Lonchura striata: one gene and its partner. The protein of the gene in region 1 purifies or fractionates together with the protein of each later gene. This does not show direct contact. Links are inferred from orthologs where the notes say so. Each region holds a gene or a part of one and is shown on either strand. Other genes may lie near its edges. The genes, in order: forkhead box protein M1 and MYBL2.

Region 1 (8,536 bases):
GTAGTTAGCCTAGAGACAGTAAAGGATAGCAAGGATTATCACTAACTAGTTCCTTTATAGGAGCTTAGAGTTTAGAGCACCTAAGTAAAGATAAAGGAACAATATGAAGAAAAGGTTCATTGAGGGCAAGAGATATAAAAAAAACCAAACAACAAAAAATCCAAGCGAACACTCCCCTCCTTAAAAAAATCCCCACACCCTACCTAGCCCCCTCCTCACCTCACTTATAAAAAAAGATAAAAAATAAAGAAGAAAAAAACAGGAAAAAACCCACACTAACCTCCTCAAAACTCCTTGGAAAAAAAGAAACCAACCTTTGGGGCAATGCACACACGCTTATTGCTCTGCAAAGTCTCTGTGCTGTTAAAAGATGCTCCCTGTGCCGTGGACAGGGGAACCTTCATAGAAGGCTGCAAGACAAGAGGCTGACTCAAAGGGAACTGGATTGGAACCAGGTAGGAGTTGACACGAGGAAGCAAAGGCTTCATCTTTCGGCCTGGAAGGGAAAAGAAGGGACTCACTTTTGCCTGTTCTCCACTGCTACCTCTTGAAACCCAGGCAGCTTAGAGAAAGTCCTTCTAGACACCCCAAAAGAAACATTTTATCAGATCACTTGCCTTCTCTGCTAACTTTAAGGATACAAATACCAAGCCAGAAGCCTCATGAACGAGAAAATAACATTTCATGCAGATCCTACCCCTCAGGTTTGGGCTCTCATTCCATTTGAGTGCCCATTGCCCAGGATCTCACCATCACATCGTCTCAGACAAAACACTACTGCTTTCCATTTCAAACCTGGCAGTAAGAAGCATAAAAGCTGGCAAACAGGGATAACACACTCCACTCCTAAAGAAATCTATGAGAATGCCCCAGGTTTATTGGATTGATTTGCTTTGGCCTAGAGTGATGTGGACACTTACGTGAATTCTGGGGTTCAGTTTTGCTTCCCATGTTCTTCAGAGGATCTGGAAGATTACTCTTTTGTTGCTGCAGTCATTGTGAGATAAGAGGAGAAGGAGAAAAAGAGAGATTAAAAGAAAAGAATCCGCATTTATTCTGCTGCCGCACTGAGAATTGTGAAACCAGAGGTCTGTGCTGGACTAATGCAAAGAGAGCAGCTGTTAGCACCCAACATTCAGGCTGGCTCTAGGTCTGTGCCACTTGCTGGTTTGCAGCCATCCCAAAGCCAGCTGCCCACCAAAAGCTGTGTAGGAAAAGAGATGACATGACAGAGCTGCTCCAGCTGCAGACTCTACTGCAGAAGTGAGCTGGTTTTGGCACACTGTGTGCCTGAGAAACAATGAATAGGATGGCTTTATTGTCTATTGGATACAGATAGGTGTTCAATGGAATAGCAGAGGCAGCAATGGGATCAGATTTTGGAGCAGATGGAAAGAAGGCCAAGGTTGTAGCTGTGACAGAAAAGTGTTTGACTGGATGTTTGCAAATCAGTCACTGTTAAAACTGCTGAATGCAACAGCAATAGCAAACAGGCTCATCCTTCTAAGAGTCACACACAGTTCAGCGGGTTACAAAATGAAAACCCACAGAGAGATCCTATTCTCTCTGGATCTGAGCTCCAGAATACATTGGAACTGTTGCCATGGAGATGATTTTACCAGAAATCTGTTTGGGCTTGTTCTCTGAAGCCTATCGGTGTCCATTGCAGCCTACTTCAGCAGTAGACTTCCAAGTTGCTCTAAGCTGTCCAGATTTACCATTTTGATAGACTGTCAACCTTTGGCTAGACCCCTCTCCCCACAAAGGGTACAGCACAGAGCTGTATGAGTAGATGCAGCAGTGAACCAATCCCCCTCCCCAAGCCTGTTGTCCTTTCCTTCAGTGAGTGGCAAGAAGAGAATGGAAGATGCCATTGGAAGAAGACAATGCCCCGAGCCAGATGGTAATTCTTACTGATTCAGAGTACTCAGGCGATGTTGGTGACCCCAAGTCCAGCGGCTGCCGGTGGCAGAAGGCATTGAGCAAGAAAAAAATTTAAGATTAAGTCATCAGCCAAAGAGGGAGACAAATGGGACATTTAAAACTTGTACAATTGGAGCAAACAAAGAAGTCCACCCACCCACAACAGAAACCACAACAGTTTTCTAAACACACCTATACCAGACTCTCAAGCTCTATTTCCCGAACAAAATCTTCCTAAAATACCTGTTTGGGCTAGCACAATTCCATCCTATGACTGACTTATCAAACAGCATAGGAACACCTGGTTGGCCTCAGTGTAAATCTTCTTATTAGGAATTTATATCAGGCCCATGGAAAGAAGGTGAACAACCTATTATATTTGGCAGAGCACATGAAGAATAAACACATCTTACAGAAGCTCCAGATCAAAAGCACAGCCATAGCATCTTTTCTTTCAAATGCAGCGCTTGTCTATTTGTCAAGTGAAATGACTGAATCCAGCTTCTACAAAGAGGCTGAATCAACGCAGTTTGATCTTACAGTTAAAATAAGGTGCATCAGGCTAGTGTGGCATTTAGAAACTGGATAGCCTGTCCTATTTTCTTTGCATGAGGCAACTCACCTTAAATACCTGGTCCAATGTTAGGCAACGGTTTGCATCAGGGTGAATAGTCCAGAAGGAGATTTTACCATTGGCAGATGTCTCACGGACAAACATATCATGAAGGGACAGGTTGTGCCGGATGGAGTTCTGAGGAGAAAGGAGTGAATGGGAGGTTGAAAACCAGCAGTTTTGTTATCAGCACAGCAAGGCCCACCTCAAACATAGCTGTCCTAGCAGAGGGATTACATTCCAAAGTGCAAACAACACCAAACTTTCATGTTCACATCGTACCCAGCCAACCCTGTCATCAGTCTCTTATTCTATGTACTCTTGAGATCCCAGTTCTCACTCCAGTGCTCAAACATCCCATCATCTTGTTTAAGTAGGATGAGGCAAGGGATACAAGAAGTGGTACAGTGAACATCTGGAGTGAGAGTGTATTTGGGGTGGAACGTTTAAATGAGCTTCCATCTTGATTTGCAGGCTGGGGAATAACTTTTCATTTTGATCCAGAAGGCATGTAACATCACCCACAGCAACTTGAGGGCTGCTGGTTACCTTCCAACCTGGCTTAGCTACATGTTTAAAATAAGGGAAATGATCCTCAATCCAGGTATAGATGTCCTTCAGGGTCATGCGCTTCCTCTCCGTGCTGTTGATGGCAAATTGGATCATGGCCATGTAGGAGTAAGGAGGTCGCTCTGACACCGAATCCTGACATGAGGAGGACTCAGCAGCAGTAGGAATAGCAGCAGCAGCAGCTTCCTCTTCAGTCTGAAAGAAAGAAGATTCAGTCTGAATGAATGTTCGCGAAGCTGACAAGAAGGCCCATGGAACATCCCTGGATCCTCTGGGTTCTGCTATTCATATCAGTAAAGGTTAAAATCAGGTTACTTAGAGATAGCAATACCTAATTCTTGCAAGTATTCTGATCCACCTAGATTACCTCCTTATCAAAAGTTTTAGCACACTCTTGTATTCTCCTACTTGCCTTGACTCTTTCCTGCAGAGGTATCTGATTCTCTTTCTCTGTGTCTTCCTTCACAGAAGAGGGATTTAGCCCATCAGATCTCATCTTCCCCAGCCACTGGATGTTGGTGAGACTGTTGTCCAACACAGAACTCATTGTCTCTCCACTGCCTGTTGGGATAATAAGCCCACATAATAATCACAGAATAAATTAGGCTAAAAGAGTCCTCCAAGACCATTGAGTCCAACCTGTGACCAAACACCCTCTTATCAATGAGACCATGGCACTGACTGCAGCATCCAGTTGTTTCTTGGATACCTCTAGGGATGGTGACTCCAAACCTCCCTGGACAGTCTGTTCCAATGCTTGACAACCCTTTTAGGGAAGAGGTTCTTCATTATGTCCTATCTGAACTTTCCTTGGCACAGCTTGAGGCTATGCTCTTTTGTCCTGTCATTTGTTGCCTAGAAGAAGGCAACCCCCACTGCTCTACAACCCCCTTTCAGGCAGTTGTAGAGAGTGACAAGGTCCCCCTGAGCCTCCAGGCTGAACAGCCTCAGCTCCCTCAGCTCTTCCTCATCAGACCTGTGCTCCAGACCCTTCACCATGTTGTCCTTCTCTGGACATGCTCCAGAACCTCAATGTCTTTCCCGTCATGAGTGACCCTAAACTGAAAAAAGAACTCAAGATGCAGCCTCACCAGTGCTGAGTACTGGACAATCTCTCCCCTGGTCCTGCTGAACACAGTATTGCTGGTACAGGCTAGGATGTCATTGGTCTTCTTGGCCATCTGGGCACACACTGGCTCCTGGCTGCTGTTGACCAGTAGTCCTGGCTCTTTTCCTGCCAGGCAGTTTTCCAGACACTCTTCCCCCAGCTTCTAGCACTGCCTGGTGCTTTTGCAACACAACTGCAGGGCCTGGTACCTGCTTTTACTGAACATCATGCAATTGGCCTTGACCCATGGATCCAGCCAGTCCAGAGCCCTCCTGCCCTCCAGCAGATCCACACTCCCACCCAACTTGATGTCATCTGTGAGTTTGCTGAGGATGCTCTTGATCCCCTCATCCAGATCACTGATACACAGAGAAAAGCAGGACTGGCCCAACTCTGAGCCCTGGGGAACCCTACCAGTGACTGGTCACCAGCTGGATGCAGCACTGTTCAGCACCACTCTCTGGGCCCAGCCATCCAGCCAGTTTTAATCCAGTCAAGAGTGAACCTGACCAAGCCATGGCTGCCAGCTTTTCCAGAAAAATGCTGTAGGAGACAGTGTGAAAGGCTTTACTGAAGCCCAGGTGGGCTACAGACACAGCCTTCCCCTCGCCATAACTCTGCTTTCTCACAAGTAACCCTGCTACTCCTTCATCACAGCTGTCAAAAGGAAGGCACCAGTCACACTTCTAAAAGATGGTATTGCAACACTAGTATTGTGGAAGGAATTCATCTTGAATTCCTGATTTTGATTCCTGTAGTTGCCCAATTTCTGAAAAGAGCTGCAGGCTCTAAAAATAAACACTCAAACCAGGCTATTGTCAACCAAAACAGGACAATGTTGATCAAGTACTTCAAGAAATAGAAAGATTTAGCACAAAACTTAAATCAGAAGCACAGATGTCTTCCACCAAAAAATATGTCCACTATAATCCTTCAGATTTCACTACATATGCAAAGCTAGGTACATTATTAGAATCCAATCCATAGGTATTTTGTAATTAACAAAATATTAATAATTACTGCAAACCAAGATGCAAGTGCTGCACTCCTTGGCCCATTTCACATCTCTTTGTCTGTCAGGACAAAAAAAAAACAAACAGGTAAAGGCTACATACTGTCCCTGTCCAACCACAGGACCAACTCCTGAATGCCAGAGCTCTGTACTACCTGCAAGACCAGATGTCTGTGCAACATTCTTCTCTCTTTCTTGAATAACTGCAGCCCTGTTGCCTGCACTGGCTTTCTTCTCTGATGGGAGATGCTGCGATGGTGCTGGACCTGCTGAACGGGATGTGCCCCCACTGCTAATGAGAATGAACTTATTTGGTCCATTGTTGCCACATTCTTTTCCTTTTGCTGTCAATGCCTCTATAATGCTCTGGATATCAGCATTTGTAGGGATGGCCACCACCTGTGTGTTGGGCATTGTAGGATGGTCAATTATCTTTATTCCTGCTGGGAATTTCTGCAGGCCACCGTCCCTTTTGTCTCTGGGTTGTCTGTTGTGTTGGTCTTCCTGCCTGTGCTCCTGCTTAGGAGCCTTTTCATCCTGACCTCTCTTCTCATCTCTTGCTGAAGTACTGGATTCACCATTCTGTGGGAGGGTCAGTTTTCGTCTTTTGAGAATTAAGGGCCTGCGAGGGCTGGTCCTCATTATTGATCTATACTGTCACTCTCCATTGAAAGGGAGAGAAACAAATCCTGCAAAACAAAAGGTACAACATAAAGGGTGCAGCAAATCATCTCAAGACCTCCCACAGAGCACACATTCTCAGCAGTTGCAGTTGCTACAAAGCTAGAAATGCAAAAGGAAAATTAAAATTAGAAGCATTTAATAAGGCAGACAAGGCTACTGAAAAATCATACTGTACCTCCCTAATCCACACTTTGTGTAAGCAGGATGAGAGAGTTGCAGAGTAGATAATGTGCATCATAAAGTACATAATAATGAGCAAAGTGTGTATGTGCTTTACAAAAAGACTTAGCTGTAGGGCAATTTGACCATGTCAGCCAGCAAGCTGCAGGGGAGGCGGAATATAGAAACAGCAGTGCTGATTCTTATAGCTGATTGCTCTAAGCAGCAGATTATATAACCTGTGTGAAAAGGGAATTTACAGATGGTTTAAGATCTGGGAAGCAGAGATTACCCTGAACACTACAAAAGCACATAATAAATGCAGCAGAAGTAAGGTGCTTTAAGCTAGACACCAAGTAAATGTGCTTCTAATTCCTTTTGTATTTGTTAAGAATCACATAAATTCATCATTGGGTAGCATACAATTTAGATGTCAAACTTTTGGACAATAGGTAGTTTAGACTATAAAGCTGGAAGCAGAGGAAATGAAATTCAGAGATACTGCTTCCAGGGTAAGATGCTATGAGAATATTGCTAATAATGCCATCAGGAATTTGGTGGAACCTGTGCCTTTCTGAAAACTAAAGCAGAACAATATGCAAATTGTAGTTATTGTTTGTCATTAGAGATGGCAAGCAGAATAGAAACAGATACCAAAAAAGAGAGGCCTTTTGCATTACTAGATTTGACGGGGTCAGCTAGTAAACGAGAAAATTCTCAGTAAGAATCCCCTACATTGATAGAAAGCAGAGTCCAGCGGATAACAAGCTGAGCTAACGCCCTATGCACAGTGAGCAGACAGCCCAGCGATCATTCCACGCGGGTTCTGGCACCCGGCACAAGCATGGCCCTTGGAGATCTGCTCCTCCCCCTTAAGGAGAGACAGCGCCAGAAGCAGAACCCTGAGCCAGCCTCCGACAGGCAGCGTTCCTGCGAGCAGGAACGGGAGCGCGTCCCTTCCCAAGGCCTGGATCTGCTGCCCCGTCCAGGCCCGGGAGCAGGGCTGTGCAGGCGCGGCCCCGCGGGGGCAGGCAGGGCACGGCCAGGGCGCTCCCAGCTCCTCTGTCACCCACCCCAGCCCCGCGCTGCCGCCCTGGCCGGCGGGTTCGCTGCTCCCCGGGCCTTCCGCCCCGGGCCGGGCCCGGGCGCTGCCCTGTCCCGGCCGCGCGGCGGCCTTACCGCGGCCGTCCGAGGGGCGCCGACCCCAGCCGGGGCGCCGGCGGCGACTCACCAGCTGCGGCCGGGGCGCGGCCGGGGCGGGCGGCGGCCCCGGCGCTCTCGGAGCGGCCCGGTTTGAATTTGGCGCCCGGCGCTGGCCCGGTCACGTGCCGGCCTGCGCCAGTGAGCGGCGGCGGGGGCGGGCCCGGCCCGGGCCAATGGGCGGCGGCGGCGGCGGGCGCGGATGTGCGGCGGGACCGGGACCGGGCCCGCGTCGCGCCGGCACCGCGGTGTGCCGCGCTTGTACCGGGACGGCCGCTCCCGCCCGGCCGCGGCAGTGCCGCCAGCTTCCTTCAGCCGTGCTGCCCGCGGCCGGGAGCCCCGCCGTGCGCCCGCGCCGCCGGCGGCGCGCTGGCGCCTGGTGAAGAGCTGCGGGGTTTTGCCGTTTAACGTGTGTGTCACGGCCGCGCCGGGCTAGAGGGGCCCGCAGGACCCTCGGGCACGGTGCCGCTTAGGTAAGCCGTCAGGCTGTGTCAGTCTCATGCGTTTCTCAGAAATGTTGTCACGTTTTCTTGTCTGTGCTGATCTATGGTAAGTCAGGTAGGTGAACATAGTTGTGCCCAGGTGGCCAAGAGGGCCAGTGGCACCTGGCCTGTGTCAGCAACAGCGCGGCCAGCAGGGCCGGGACAGGGACCGTTCCTCTCTCCTCGGCACTGCTGGGGCACTCGGAGTGCAGCGCCCGGTTCAGGCAGGACACTGAGGTGCGGGAGTGGGACCCGAGAAGGACAGCAGAGCTGGTCTGGAGCACAAGTCCCACGAGGAGTGGCTGAGGGAGCTGGGGGTGTTCAGCCTGCAGAAAAGGAGGCTCAGGGGGGACCTTAGCGCTCTCTACAAGGGCTTGAAAGGAGGCTGTGGCCAGGTGGGGTTTGTAACTTCTGGAGGCATCCTCTGCAGAATGTCTGTCAACTTGTTTCAATGGAAACTGATTTTCTGCTCCTCTCTTTTTGGCATTATCTAAGTTTTTCATACCTTTTTCACTACTAGGTTCCTGCATAGGTAAAACCTACCCTACATGTTCTCTCAAGCACCTCTCAAGCACCTAGTGATGGAACAAGGGGACATCATCCGAAGCTGCACCAGGGGAGGTTTAAGTTGGGCATTAGGAAGAAGTTCTTCACAGGAAAGGTGAAGACAGGCGAATGGGCTAGGGAAGTAGAGTCCCTGTCCCTGAAGATGTAGCACTTGGGCCATGGTTTAGTAGCCATGGTGGTGTTTGGCTATAGGTTGAATTTGATGATTTCAGAGGTCT
Region 2 (8,224 bases), on another chromosome or scaffold:
GGGAGCCCGTAGAGACCCGAGACACCGCATCCACCCTCATACAGACCCGAGACACCGCATCCACCCTCATACAGACCTGAGACACCGCATCCACCCTCACACCGACCTGAGACACTGTATACACAGAGCTGAGACATCCTCACACCGACCTGAGACACCGCATCCACCCTCACACCGAGCCGGGACACACCGCATCCATCCTCACACAGAGCTGAGACACTGTATACACAGAGCTGAGACATCCTCACACCGAGCTGAGGCGCCGCATCCACCTTCACACCTACCTGAGACACTGCATACACCGAGCTGGGACAAAACGCATCCATCCTCACACAGAGCTCAGACACTGTATGCACCGAGCTGGGACATCCTCACACCGAGCTCAGACACCGCATCCATCCTCACACCGACCTGAGGCATCCTCACACCGAGCTGAGACACCACATCCATCCTCACACCGATCCGGGGCACACCGCATTCACCCTCACACCTACCTGAGACACTGCATACACCGAGCTGGGACATCCTCACACCGAGCTCAGACACCGCATTCACCCTCACACCGACCTGAGACACTGTATACACCGAGCTCAGACACCGCTTCCACCCTCACACCGAGCTGACACATCGCACCCACCCCTACACGGAGCCGGGACATCCAACCCATCCCCACACCGATCGGGGACACTGACCCGGGACACCTGCATCCAGACTCCTGTATACCTCGGCACATCCTGCGGGATCCCCGCATCCAGCCCCAGGACCTCTGCACCGAACTGGGACTGCCGAGACTCCCCACATCTAACACAGCACCCGATCCAGGACCCCGCACATCCACCTCTGCACCGACCCTGCACTGATCCAAGTCCCACCGCATCCAGCCCCGCATTGATGCAAGCTCCCACCAGGAACCTCCTCATCCACCCACACACCGACCTGGGCCCCCCACGACCCTCCCCATCCGGCCCAGCACCGACCCCAAGATCCCTCTGCATCCACCCCTGTACCAACCCCAAAGCATGGGGATCCCCCACACTGACCCAGGACTCTCCCTCACCCTGCCCTACACTGACCCATGTTTACTCATTTCTATCCTCAGCACCTCCACGTCCCCATGGACTCAGGACTCCCGGGACCCCTTCATCCACCTGAAACCACTGGGACCCCTTCCCCCCCACACCAGCCCAGGATACCCTCCATTCACACCCCCCAACCTTGGACCCCCATTTCTACCCTCAGGCCCTCTCACACTAACCTGAGCCTCCCAAATGTAGCAGCCTCAGGCACAGGGCAGGAACATCACACCTTAAAGAATCACAGAATATTCCAGGCTGGAAGGGACCCCCAAAGATCATCAAAGTCCAACTTATGGCCCTGTCCAGGACAGCTACAACAGTTCAACCCTGTGCCTGAGAGCATTACTCAAATATTCCAACACGTACTGTCTATTTCATCAATGAAAAGTCTGTACTTGTGGATATTCCTAATCAACAGCTCACAAAACACAAGGCAACACTTAAAAGAAAGTAAAGCCTTATTAAGGTTCTTTGACAGGACAAATATAACCCATCCCTCACAGATCTCAGAGTACCTCCATCAGTCAGCCATGGCCCACCTTCACTACCCCTGTGCTTAAAAAGAGGCAAACAGAAGCCCCTCCCTCTCCCAAACTAGCTTAATTAGGAAATCAGCCTGTTAATTGATTACCAGAACTATAAAACTGCTCTAAGTAACACTGGCAGAAAAGGCTTGGGAACCTCAAAGGGTCTTCACAGGAGCTGAAGGTACTATTTATTGTTTTCTTATTCTTTCATTTCTTATATGCTAAGATAAGATGGTTTTAGTCTCTTAAATAATACTTTCCTTCTAGATTGACCATACAGTCCCTTTGCAGTAAATTCAGACGCTATTTATGACTGTTTAGCATGTATTCAGAGTAAAGCTGGGTTGGGAATATAGCTATCCCCTTCCCTGGCCTGCCCTAGTCTCTCAGGAAAGATCTGGAAGTCAGCTCCTGGCTGAGCTGGAGGTGAGAGTTATTGTGTACAGCACTAAAAGTAAGATGAGACCTGCCCTTCAACTTTTCCCATCCTAGCCAGAGCCTGGTTTTGGTGCCTCCTCAGAGGGATTCAATTCTAGCTGGGGTGAGTGGTCCTCTGACTGCAGGAGTGAGGCTAAAATGCTTCTATCCCCTGTACAAAGTTAAGACTAGTGATAATACAGGCTGAGGTCAAATAAATACAGCTTCAGGGAGATTCTGCTATGACCTCTGAGCTACTAACAGGCTGTAGTGGAGTTGTTTTACTCTAAAAGAGAGAGCCAGGCTGGATGCCCCTGCATGTCCTGAAACCTGCTCAAGGTCCTGCAACAGTGAGATGGGATTTTGCCAAGAGTGGTCCTGCTACTGTAAGTCTGTAAACCATTAGTGAATAGTAACAGGTTTATCCTGACAGGCTCATCCTTATCTCTCTAAGCCAGAGAGCTGCTGGATTCTGCACCATGCTGTCCACCCAGAAGCACAGCACCAGCATTGTGACCAGAAAGGAAATCCTGGAAAACGGGTTCTTGGCCAGCTCCTCCAGCCAGAGCTATTCTCCTGTTGTGAGCTATTACAAGGACTCTAGCAGTGCTTCCAAACATGAAACCTGGGAGCTTCCCATGGACTTGGACAGCACAGCAAGTGGCAGTTCCCTGTGTGTTGTCAAGCAGGCAGAGTCTCTGACCAGCTGTGTGAAGCCGGAGCTGCACAGCTTGACCCAGGGCATCTCTGACCTCAGTCTTGTCTGCTTCTGCAAGGCCCACCATGGCCAGGCCACCTGTGAGCTGTCTGGTTTGCCCTGTGAGCACCCTAGCAGAGATAGCTGCCTGATGAATGTGGGATCACAGAATACTTCGACACCTTGCAATAAAGACAAGCACTTCAAACCCCTGGAGAGCCTTCTCTTCAAGAGCTCTGAGCTGGCTGGTGACATCTCAGCCCTTGGGAAAGTGCCAGCACCCAGGTGGGACATCTCGGCAATAAAATCCTTTATGGATACCAGTACATCCCTCGATGTCAGCACAGAGGAGTTACGTTTACTGGGATGCTCCAAACCAGACACATCATCCCTGGAGACCCCTGTGGTGATTCCTCTGGCTTGGCCCAGTGCCTTCAAGAAGCACCCCACACTGATCCACAGGTCTGCCACCCAGGAGACCCAGCTGAGTGACCCTGACGCTGTCCCTGTGTTTCTGCAGCAGGCTCTGTGATGCTGCTGCCCTGCCTCCAGCTGGAGCTGCTGGTGCCTGCCCCCTCCCCTCCTGCGAGGAGCAGGGATCCACGCTGCAGCACAGAAGATGGAGCCAGCGGCTTGAGTGGTGATGGCAGCAGCTGGTGACGAGCTAAATCTGCTCACCTGGGGTGGCCGAGTCGGCACTGGTGGTGGGGGATGTTTGAGCTGGTGATGGCACCTCCGAGAGCCGCAGCATTGCTGGCTCCTCCTCCTCCCCGATCGCTCTTTTGTATTAGCACAATAAAGATATAAATGTCTCTCTGCTGGTGGTCCCTGACTCTCGCTGCCCTCCCGGCCTGAAGCTGAGCCCCCTGAACGCCCAGAGCCGGCCTCCGTGCAGCCCCCTCCGAGCTGGGGGTGCCCGGACCCCCGCCCGCCCGCCCCCGTTACCTGGCCGAGGGGTCGGGGCGGGTCCCGGCGGAGAAGGGGCAGCGGGACGCGGCCGCAGCCGCGGGGCCATGGCTGCGGGGCCGGCGCTGCCCGCCGGGAGCGCGGGCGGAGGCGCGCCCGGGGCCGCGGATCCCTCTCCTGGCGCGCCGGGAAAGCACAGCCCGGCAGCGGGGAGCGCCCCGGGCACAGCCCGCCTGCCTCATGCGGGGTGCCGCTGCTCGTCCTGGCCGCGGCAAGCCGCCACCGCGCAGGGACCATTTCCTCTGTCACATCCAAACCCTGCTCCGAGGCAAGGAAAGGAGCCTAGGCCATCGCACCCACCCCATTAGATTTTTCACGCTCTCCTGCTAGATCGCACCCCACCCATATGCAATCCTGATTTTCCTCTCCTGTCTCTGCTTACAGCAAAGAAAGGGAGGAAGAACTTGTTAAAACAGCTTTTCAGGACATTTGCTCTATAACCAGTGTACTGTTCCCCTCTTCTTTTAGGGGCATATTAGGGGATAATGAGTCATGTTGCATGAGAGGACAGAGAAAAAAAGGGAAAGCAGCAAGAGCTGCTTGAAACCAACTTTTGAAAATCACAGCAGAAATTTGATTTATATATTAACTCCCTCACTAGCTACCTGCCCAACGTGTTCCCCCTGGCCTCACCTCACCTCTTGAAAGCACTCACCTACTTCTACTCCTTGGAAATTCTGTCAGTCAGCCATAAAATTTATATGCATCATACTCTCATGACTAAAGTGTTTCTAGTAACAAAGTCAGTTTAAATACTTCCAGAGGGCCAAAGGGACAGCTTTGAAAGAGAGATGTGAGCTACATGTATTCCACACTAGTAAGAAAAACATCCATTCAGTAAAAAAATGTGTTCTTCAGCTGTCAGAGGCCTGAGAGACACCCAGAAAACAGGGAGCTGCTTGTATCCCCGGGCTGCTCACATGGCTTTTTTTAAACCATGTTACATCAGAAACAGGTGACAAAACAACTTGGAAACAGAAAGTTATTTACAGTTTGAAGTATAAACACCCCAGAAGAGTACAAACTGGAGCTATAATTAGCAACAGGAGCACTCAGGGGGTTGGTTCAGCTGCACCCTGTGCTGGCTGACTGATTGCTATTGCTACTGCACAGGAGAAGAGATTAAGGTTGTTGTGTAAATCTGGAGCTGGAATGTACAAAGTGCTCTGGGTGACAAACACAACCACGGCCTTAAAGGAAAACAGAAGAAGAAATGAAAAATTTCCAACATGCTGCTGTGAAAGGGAACGGCTGCAGTGGAGAAAGAGATACAACCACTTCTGCTAACATTAGCACATCTCAACTGGGCAGGAACTTGGCAGGGGCTTTGGGGCACCTCCTTTAGAAAAACCTGTGCCAAAATGCTATGTGAAGCATGAAATGTAAAACAAAAAGGTATTTTGGAGGGATAAAAAGATGAACAGGTTTTTTTGCAAAAAGCAGTTCTGATTTTAAAAACCATGGCAGAGCAAGGTAAAACACAGAAGTCATTGAAGTCCTGAGTGGGGGAAGAATTTAACAATCTGAGTGTCAGTCTGACAGCCAAAAAAGGCTTTATAATGCAATTTCACCACATTAACATAAAAACAAGTCCTTGCAATAGAGGTGTGGTGGTGATGATGTTGACAAAAATCTTTTCTTCTCACCACTGATCTCCTTGGCTCTATTTTTGCTGTGCATTGAGCTTCAACATTTCACGGAAAATTAATTTAACCTGGATTTCCACTCCTGCGTATTACTGAACTCACTACCTCAGGGAGTGGACTAGATATCAAATAAATGGAAGTAAAAATATCCATTAATTTCTGTGCAGTATCAGTGTCTTAATAATGATCCACTCAATCTTAAGGTTTGCATCCATGTGCTGTCCTCTCTTTTTAAAATTCTGTAATTCCAGTCTGATATGAGGCAGCAATCTGCAACAATGTCATTATTGCTTAATTTCAAATCTGCCCCTCCCTTGGAAGAAATGTTTTCTTTCTACAGTAACAAACTCACCTCTCCTTAGTTCTCTTTGGCAGAGAGACAAAATGAGGCTGCCTCAGGGTGATACATGTATTTTCAGCAGCTCCTGCTAAAATTATGGCTCTATTTTTTTGTCCTAAGTTAACAAACCAAAATAACAACCCTTCTCACAGTGCAATTAAGGATTTCATGTACAACAGGAGAACCAACAGGTAAGGCAGACTTAACTACAAGAAAATAAATGCTGGAGCCAGAAAGGACCCAAAACACATTTTCTTGGTATATTATTTTTTTAATATATTAAAAAATTACAGTTTCAATAAAGAAGTAGAAAAATAAGAAATTCTTTGGAAAGTGCTTGTGAAATACAAGCAGTTCCCCAGAAGGCATTAATTATCTGAACTACTACACATAAATGATCCAAGCATCCAGTGAACTACTGAGACAGTCCCAATCAATACACTGAGAAGAGAGACTTTAAAAATGGAAAAATATACTTTCCCTAAAAGGTCTATCTCAAACTGGGGAAAGCCAGCTCTCAGGTACTGTTCTGGAATCCAGCTTCACTTTGGTCAGTATCGTGTTCCTTAAGTAAGGGAAGAGGAAGGAAAAAAAAGGAAGAAAAAAGAGTTTTAACAACAGGGTAGAACTGTAAGATTTTTGGCTTAACTAGATTATGTGAAACAGACAATTCTTGTTAGCACAAACTGTTGCTCTGCCAATATGCTCCAAACACACTTTGAAACGTTAAATTTGCTATGAAGAATTCTTTCAGCACAGCTGCATTTCAGTGCAGCTCCTGAAGAACAATGCTGGTCACCTCTGCACAGCAGCACTGGCCAGAGCAGTGAACACTCCTGAGGGCTCCCTGCTCTCACTCAGGCACCACTAATGAACCAGATTTAGCTGCAATTACAAACTACACTTGCATGTACTAATTCCCCAATTAAAATAAATGAGAGACTTAATAAATTGAGCAGTACACATTTTATGGAGATTAAGAGTCATAAGTACTCTGGATCACACTTGACTGGTCTCATTTATAGCACAGCTAATGTCTCACATCACCTCTTGCCTGTGACAACTGTAACTGCTACAATGATACACCACCCTTACTGCTGCTACTACCAACTACTCACTTGTAATTGCTATTAAAAATACCTGATTCAGTTTCTTAAACTCAACCACTTGGAAGAAGATGTGCTCCAGGATATATTTGGCATCTTGCCTGTCCTTTGGGAGTTCACTGGTCACTCCCAGGATATCACCACATTTCCGCACGTAGAACTCCAGGTCATCATCAGTGCCTAAACAAGCACCCAGGGAAGAAGGCAGGTGAGTCTCACACATCTGGAGCAGCTGGCCAGAAACCTGCTCTGAATCTCCTTTTGCTGCTGGCATCCTGGGAGGCTCAGTCCCATCACTAAGCTCAGTGGACTAGCCATAACGTATTCCTGCAGCCAGTACCTGCTCATCTTCTTTAGGTGTTTATAATAATCTTAACATTTTAACTTAAAAGCATAAACAAGATGTGAAATTTATCAGCAAGAGTGCACAAAGCAATGCACAATATAGGAAACGGGAAGAAACACGATAAAATGTCATGCAACAGACAAAACATAATGTCATGGTACATAAAGTCATGCTATTAATTTCCAAAGCCTTTCAATTTCTTAGATCAGGATAAGAGCAGTAGATTTCCCAAATGAGGTGCATGCTTTAACATTCAATATTAGAAATTTCCTCTAAAAAAACTGGACTTTTATTTTAAACGTGCAAACAATCTTCTCCACTTACATTTGTTTGTAATCTCTGCAAGACGTGCTTTCTCTGAGGAAAAAGTTTCATCCAAGTCAAACAGTTCCAGAGCAGGAGGAGGCAATTCTTTGAAAGCAGGTGGAAAGACCTTGGAAAGAAAACGCAGCATGGTTGACTGCCACACATTTTTCTTTACAGATCTCTAAGACAACAGTTTTGAACTTATATTGGACTTGAAGAAGCCCTTTTAAAAAGTCAAAAGCAACTCCAAAGCCACTGAACCAAGGGGCAGCATTTGAAAATTCCATTTTTATGCTGTAAAAATAACTGAACATTCCAAAAGAATTTAGTCACATGTATGCCAGAATTATCACCCAGCATAACAACTAGACATTCTTATTTGCAGTTTCAGTTTTGCTCCATGAGACCCAGGTGATAGCTGAGAGCTGAGGAACTAAATTGGCCCTAATAGCTCACCCTGAAAACATACTGACATCAATTTTGGTCAGAGTATTTTCTGTTTCATGCAGGCACCATTTATGTCACAAGCTGGACTTGGGTTTTTAAAAAGCAGTGAAGGAGACACCACTTTCAGTTGCACTCCTGAAGCTCTAAAGGATATCAGAAATGCTTTCTCAGTGGCCAGGGTAAAGAAGGATGGAACAATGATGGCAAAACTCAGATACCAAGATTCTTGCCTTCTGAAATGAGTTTGACACCCTCATAGTTTGTGTTGTTGCTGTCTGCCCAAACATTGCTGGTTAAAGTTTGATCAGCTTCTGATGTAAAAGACCAATGTTCTGCTTTCTGCTTCCCCT

Evidence for each region.
Region 2: the proteins of forkhead box protein M1 (region 1) and MYBL2 purify together in Homo sapiens (affinity purification with western blotting; 3 studies listed by BioGRID and IntAct, with this or other methods). This does not show direct contact. The link is inferred for Lonchura striata from reciprocal best matches to the Homo sapiens genes FOXM1 and MYBL2.

What each region holds. Positions count from the first base shown.
Region 1 is NC_134604.1:31,065,215-31,073,750, reverse strand, and holds the start of forkhead box protein M1, read right to left. Parts: upstream 3,224-8,536; 5' UTR 3,209-3,223; coding exon 3,086-3,208; intron 2,675-3,085; coding exon 2,546-2,674; intron 1,960-2,545; coding exon 1,915-1,959; intron 988-1,914; coding exon 921-987; intron 497-920; coding exon 315-496; intron 1-314. Other genes in the region: forkhead box protein M1-like, read right to left, coding at 3,465-3,667, 4,434-4,573, 4,725-4,871, 5,330-5,868. UniProt on the Homo sapiens protein: Transcription factor regulating the expression of cell cycle genes essential for DNA replication and mitosis. Plays a role in the control of cell proliferation. Also plays a role in DNA break repair, participating in the DNA damage checkpoint response.
Region 2 is NC_134619.1:11,070,063-11,078,286, reverse strand, and holds the start of MYBL2 (myb-related protein B), read right to left. Parts: upstream 3,770-8,224; 5' UTR 3,663-3,769; intron 3,250-3,662; coding exon of another isoform or gene 2,500-3,249; intron 1-2,499. Other genes in the region: uncharacterized protein LOC144247204, read left to right, coding at 2,500-3,249; IFT52 (intraflagellar transport protein 52 homolog), read right to left, coding at 6,187-6,234, 6,810-6,955, 7,446-7,554. UniProt on the Homo sapiens protein: Transcription factor involved in the regulation of cell survival, proliferation, and differentiation. Transactivates the expression of the CLU gene.